2 linked regions of the Caenorhabditis elegans genome follow. The protein of the gene in region 2 purifies or fractionates together with the protein of the main gene of each other region. This does not show direct contact. Each region holds a gene or a part of one and is shown on either strand. Other genes may lie near its edges.

The links. The genes of interacting proteins can lie anywhere in the genome.
Region 1: the proteins of lipt-1 (region 2) and F59C6.12 fractionate together in Caenorhabditis elegans (co-fractionation; one large-scale study listed by BioGRID). This does not show direct contact.

Annotation. Positions count from the first base shown.
Region 1 is NC_003279.8:10,519,085-10,522,568, reverse strand, and holds F59C6.12 (UPF0598 protein F59C6.12), read right to left. Parts: upstream 1,707-3,484; 5' UTR 1,699-1,706; coding exon 1,640-1,698; intron 1,594-1,639; coding exon 1,511-1,593; intron 1,469-1,510; coding exon 1,407-1,468; intron 969-1,406; coding exon 828-968; intron 782-827; coding exon 605-781; 3' UTR 542-604; downstream 1-541. Other genes in the region: dhhc-12 (Palmitoyltransferase), read right to left, coding at 1-35, 98-186, 387-417; ndub-10 (NADH dehydrogenase [ubiquinone] 1 beta subcomplex subunit 10), read right to left, coding at 1,956-2,018, 2,101-2,663, 3,052-3,208; exos-3 (Exosome complex component RRP40), read right to left, coding at 3,408-3,484.
Region 2 is NC_003279.8:9,225,368-9,228,721, reverse strand, and holds lipt-1 (BPL/LPL catalytic domain-containing protein), read right to left. Parts: upstream 1,818-3,354; 5' UTR 1,732-1,817; coding exon 1,636-1,731; intron 1,587-1,635; coding exon 1,350-1,586; intron 1,299-1,349; coding exon 1,180-1,298; intron 1,131-1,179; coding exon 930-1,130; intron 886-929; coding exon 669-885; 3' UTR 560-668; downstream 1-559. Other genes in the region: gip-2 (Gamma-tubulin interacting protein 2), read right to left, coding at 312-454, 502-559; aspm-1 (Calponin-homology (CH) domain-containing protein), read left to right, coding at 2,339-2,399, 2,451-3,153, 3,218-3,354.

The DNA.
Region 1 (3,484 bases), 1.3 Mb from region 2:
TTGCAGAGTGTGCCCACGAAAATCAGCAGACATAACTGAAAAACTATCATTTCTGCCTTTCTCTCTGGTTGTGCTTCCAATTATCAAAAAATCTCACACGTCCACCCCACAATGCGACGAGCTTCAATACATCAAATGGGTCGAATTTCGAGATATCGCCCAACGATTTTTCCACCAAAAAGTATACTGAAAAAGGGTGATCATCGATATTTAATATTTTTATTGTAATTTTAATTCTCTGCTTAAAGGCGCACAGATTTATTTGAGTGGGTCTAGTTGCGATCAAAAGTTTATGGTAACGCGTTAAATTCCATGCTACCGTAAAGTTTTCGCGGCAAGACCCATCCAAACAAGCTCATTTTAGAATGTTACGTCTCGCAACTGACCTATCCGATTGAAAATCCTACAAACATCCATAATGCAACGTGGAGGAGATAACTCCCGGAAGATCAGGGAATAAACGAAAACTTGAAAAATCGATTTTGAAAGGCCGCCAAAGGGCGTGGAAATAAATTTGAAAAGGGTTCACGTTTAACATTATTTTTATTTTAAATACTTCATTAGATACTTTCCATCAGACAATATACATTAATTATTATTTATTTCATTTCTTAAGCTCAATTATCTGCTCCCCGCACTGAAATCCGACTGGAACGCCGTCATCGTCAAATCGGAACCGGCGATACAGTTTATCCGTCAATTTGTCAGCTACCAGTGCTTTTCCACCAATCGGACATTTGTGATAAACACGGCCGCTTGAATTCATTGAAAGTGATGAGGGCTGAAATTTTAGAATACAGATCTGAAAAATCTGTGCTTCATCTTACTTGAAACGAATGGTAAATGGTTGATTGCCCGATTCGGAGCTCTTTTTCAGTGGAGTCGAGTTCCGTGTAAACAAGTGGAGTGTCGTCGCATCTCAGAAAGTTTCGCTCAATTCCACAAAGGCTTACCCACGGGAATGTATCCTGAAATTTCATATAATTTTTTTTCAGCTCCCTCCACGATTTTTTAATTGAGTATTTAAGCTCAATTCAATGGATGAAACTTTAATTAATTGCATTCGATAGGAATTGATCGAAAATCTAGAACACTTTCAGATTACCCAGAAACGAAATTTCAACATTTTTGAAGTGAAAAATACGGTACCTGGTCTCGACACGACAAATATTTGTTAAACGAGAAAAGGTGTGCGCCTTTAAAGATTACTGTAGATTAAAACTTAAGATTCTGTCGAATTATTTTATAGAAAGAATTGGAAACATCAATAAAAAAATCCGGCAGAAATCACAGTTTTTAATTACAGTACTCTTTAAAAGCGCACACCTTTTCTCATTCAACAAAAATTGTCGTGTCGAGACCGGCTACCGTATTTTTGTTGATAAATCGCAAATTTCGCGTTTTACCTCATATCTTCCCGTCTTGTTTTCCTTGATCTTTCTGTAGAAGAAATTAAGAAACTGAATATCTGAAATTTCGATTTGTTAACAGTTTTTCCTGTAAAATAAACCTTTATAAGCCGCTGTAAAATTCTTCATTCTCGAATCGTCCAGAAATAGGAAACCATTGTGGCTCACATAGTAAAAATATTCTCTGAAAACTCAAATTCAAAAAGAAACAATTAATTTAAAAATAAAACCTTATTTTTCCGTTATACTGCCCCTGTGTGTAGAGACTTCGTGCAAATGTCAGTATCATTTCCGAAACTTAAAAAAGTTAAATTTTGATTTAAATTAATTTGAAAAGAAAAGCTGACTGGTAATATTTCCGTTTCTCATAAATTCATATTCAAATCTTTATAAATCAATCAAACAATCTACATTTATTCACTTTCTGAATGGAATAAAAGAACGCAACATGAAAAAGAAAAAAAAGTTGTTACGACGGAATAAGAAAACTCAACACAATTCGTTCTAAAAAATTTCATTGAAAAAGAAAAGATTGACAGCGTAGAATTAGAAGAGACGGAAGTCGGACTTCTTTCCTTGATCCTTGTCGAATTCTGGGTCTTGTGAGACCTGAAAATATAAAATTTTAATTTTCGATCCAGGATTCTCTCGTAGCTTCTTTTTTAAAATTAAATCTTGAAAGAATATTTACCTTCTTGTAGTATTCCCAATCCTTGGACAATGGCTTGTCACCCTCGAGTGCTGACTTGCTCATTTGGAACTCATATGGTGGCTCATAGTTCTTCTTGTCTTGATAGAACATTCCCTTCTTCCAGAATGAATAGTCAAACTCTCCATTAGCAAGTCGTGCTTTATGATCAGCAAGCTTAGCTGCACGCTCATCCATAATCTCTGGATGACGTCGTTCCCAGATCATTCGATGCTTCTGCTTCATATAAGCATCACGAACATCGGATTCTCCTCCCAACTCTCCGTATTTCATGAAGAAATTCAACTCATTCTCTTCCATATCCTCAATAACCTTGGCACATGGTGAATGATCAGGATTGTTGTAAAGCATACACCGATCAACACGTTGGCGGAGGGTTTGCAGAATAAATCCATCGACCATTTTATCAAGACGGTACTGCTCATTGGCTTCGTAGAAGCAGGCCTTGTCGTTCACTCCGCATTCGTCGATTTCCGGAACACGTGTAAGTTGACGGTGATAGTAGGGTAGACGGTTCTTGTTGTTGAGTGGTTGCACAATAGTCTCTGAAAAGCTGACGAGTTAGTAGAATAGATTAAAATGGATTGTTTTGCCTAGTTGATTTATTATGTGGAACTGCAACTACTAACTGTACATCAGCTTGAGGTAGTCGAATAACTTTGGTTTTTTTCTAGTTTAAAATTATAATTTACAGCAATGATATGGGAATTAGAAATTAACCTTTACTTGCACCACAAGTTCCCAAATTTTTTGAATCTGGATAAAACCGTAGACAGTATCAATTACTTGGAATTAAAACAAATGGTGAAAGTAAATAAACTTGAACGAAATTTGTTTTCTGTCAATTCTTACATTTTGTAAATGGTTTTAAATCTAATTTCAAAGCTGCTTCTTCTTTAAATGATTCTCCAACTTGAGAATTTTAAAAATTACCTCTGAACCAAGTTGCTGGGGCGTCGAAAGCCTTATGGGCATAATAACGGAATCGTGGGTAGATGGATCCTCGTGAATCGATATCACGAACTTTCCAGTAAGCATCCCAAGATGCTTTATCGTCAGCTTGACGTTGCTCCACTAAGCCTTCACCCATACTGAATGTCGAAAATTTTCCATTGTGAATTGAGAATATTGAGTAATAAATATTAAAACAACGAAGAAACGTTGAAAATTGAAATATTACATAGAACAAGACGATAAATTAAATTTTTAAAAAGTTCAACAACAAAAGGAAAAAAAAATCAACAATAGCAGGAATTACACTGAAAAATTAAAAATTGAGATAAAGATTCTTAATCACTGACAGATCGTGTGTAATTATTCTGAACCAGGGTGATAAGCTCATCTTCGTCAGTGATAAACTCTGATT
Region 2 (3,354 bases):
AAAATCAACTTTTGTTTTAATATTTCAGAGAAAATCCGATATAATTAATGTTGAAAAACTTCCTGTCGGTTTCAAAAATGAATACATCGACTTTTACTTGAAACATAATGAATAAAAGATATTTCGAATGTTAAATAAAAAAGAACAAGCGAAAATCCTGCGAAAAAATGAATTCACACTTGTCCAGGTGTAGTACAATACCCTTCGTAAATCTACATCATCGAACCGCGCCGCAGTCTTGCAAAACCAGACCTTGCAAAATTAACTGGTTACTTGTTTTGTTCCGACAGTATATTTAAAATCCAACTTACGACTAGAAATAGCTTGAGCTCAGTGAAAACCATTTCCTCTTGTTCTTCTGGTAAAACATTATGGAATTGACTGAATGGTGTTGGAATGGACATATACCATGGTGATGGTTCATCACAGACACGTACTCCTTGCCATTTGCTCACTAAAAGATACGAAATTAACAAAAAACTTTGCTTTTTCAAATCTTACACAAACTACGGCGAATATCCCTCCACGGCTCTCTATCCTTGTGAGCAGTTCGCATCATCTAAAAATTTAAATTTTACTTAAACGGAATTACTGTGAGCAAGAGAACAAGGGAAAATACACGGAAAATCAAATAACGACTAGAAAATAATTAAAATAAAAAGAAATGACTAAAGATCCGGCGAGAATTGTTGATTTGTGTCTAACACGAGTCCATCTTTCACTTCAATTATGGACTTATTTTCGCGGGAATATTGAAATTTCGGGCTTTTTCCATAAATCCATTTCCAGGCTTTCAACTCATCAAAGATTTTCGATATTTCTGCATTTTTCTTCACTTCCTCTGCAACATTCACAGTTTTTATATGTGATTCTTCGAACAGTTTTCTGAAATTTTTTAATGATTGGAAGTTTTTAGTTGCTCCGTTCACCTATAAGCTTCAACAATGGCTAATTTTGATTGTTCGACATTTGCATTGGCATCATCTTGTTTCAGAAATCCAACAGCCGGAGCTCTTACGCTTCTTGTAGCATTTGATTCGATTTTATCTCTCCATGGAGATTTCAAAGATTTTGATAATACTTGAAGATCCGCACCGACGAGGAGTGTTAGATGGTGATAGGCTTGACCTCTTAAATTATTCACATAACAAGTGTTTAAAATATTTTTTTTAAAAATACCGCGCAATTCTTGCAGCTGTTCCTGAGCATTTCCGTTCTCCTGGATGTAGTTCCATGTCATCACGCTTGTTTGGAACGATTTTAACAGAAAATTGTTGATTTAGAGCATCCGAAATGAACTGGAAATAATAAAATGATATTTTTATTATTTTGAAAAATGATATTAATACCTTCAAGTTTTTTGGCCGACAGTGTTGTGCGTGTGTTGTTAAAAGTGAAATATTCAGATTTCCTAGATCATGATAAACAGTGCCTCCTCCACTGTGCCTTCGGACAATTTGAATATTATTTTTGTTAGCATATGGTATGTTGACTTCAATCCACGGATTTTGATGTCTTCCGATGACTACAGCCGGTCGATTACTCCACATGAGCAGGATTTCCCCGTTTTGAGCGACATTGTGAGTCTGAAATCAAAAACTATAGCAAAGGCACTGAAATTACTGCTGAACTGACCCTGAAAATATGCTCCTCATACGCAAGATTTTCGAAAATGCAGCTTGACGTGGATTTCAGAACTGTGGACAATTTTCCGCGTGATATAGAACACATTTAACAAGAAAAATAAATTAGGAAAAGGTAAGAAAACTGTTTATTTGCAAGATTTGAGAAGAAGAGATTGCTAGCATTAAGGAGACGCAGACATTCAGTAATTGCGCTCCATTTATGACATTGTGGCGCGAGCGTTCAAAACATAAATTTTACTTTTTTTTCATTGATTTTTGTTTGATCTAAATTTCCGAAAGCTACCTGAAAACTGTTTAACGCTTTTCTACTATAAAATCGTCACCTTAAAATCTTTTTTAAAATATAATTTTTGTGTGAATTATAAAAATGCACAGTAGCAGTTTAAAGGCACACTTCTTAGTTCAAAGAAATGGTCTTATCACGATTACAGTACCCAACCTGAACGCGGCGCGAATTCCGGATTTATCCCCAAAACGTTTTTTTCCTCCGTTTTAGGTGGCCATTTGTACCGCGTCCAAAACGCGTAAAAGTCCCCAAATTGTCTTCTTTGTTCGACAATTGCACTGAAAACTGACAAAAAACTAACAACATCGGGACTTTTTCGCGTTTTGGACTCGGCATTGAAACTAATATCGCTGTGTCTTCCTTCCTGATTTATTCGTCTTTATTTTTTGTATTTTTCAGAATCAAAATGGATAATAACGTTGAGGATAAAAAAGAGGCAATGCTCAAACGATTAGCAAATCGACACGGTAACAAGATATTTATACTTTATCTCATTATTTATTTTCTTCCTCTTTCAGAGAAACGCCTTCTTGATCAAGTCAAATCGAACACAAAGAAGATCGATTTGAGAGCAACCGAGCGAGCCTTTTTGGAGTCGAGTCCGACTTCAATGAATATGCGAACTCCTCTCAATCCTTCAATCAGCTCTTCTGTATCAGATTCCCCGATTCTATCATATGATGAGAAAGCCAACAAGCAAATTATTGCACTCGCCACGTGGTGCAACACAATGATGGAATTGGATGTGTCTGAAGAGATGGATCTAGGAGAGTCGAAAGCAGAAGCCTGCAGAAATATCCAAAAAATGTTGAAGAAAAGATCAGATACGTCAGAAGTGGAAAATACACAGGAAAATGCACGCAGGAGATATCAACGGATTTTTGAGAAAAATGATCCAGAAGTTGTGAAGAAAAAGTGCAAGCAGCTTCTAGACGATTCAGGAATGGATGCAAGCATCAAGGATCTTCTGTCCAAAAACAACGTCGCAATCCGAAAAGAACATGCCGTATATAATGACATAGGCCTCCAAACAACTCTTCTTCACACATTTCTATCATTCCATCCTGCTTGGCTGAAAACTGCTCTTGAAGCAATCTTTAACACGAGAATTGACGCTCAACCGAAGCATTTAATGAAAAAACTTTCTCAGTTTTTCCTCGATCTAGTTTTCTCAAATCCGACGATGCTAAAGAACAAGAAATTTGCACAAGGTTCTGGAAAGTAAGTTGCTGATTTCAGAGGATGAACGAGTTCGTTAAAATTATGCCTAATCAAATTTTTGCAGACCGATCATCACTGAGGCTGGCAAAGAAGCTCTACACAAGCATTTTCTGTCCGTCTCGATGAAGCTGATGTTCTTGATTGAAACGGCACACACTCATCGAGTTATCCCGAATCTGACGAGAATCTTCACGAAGTCCT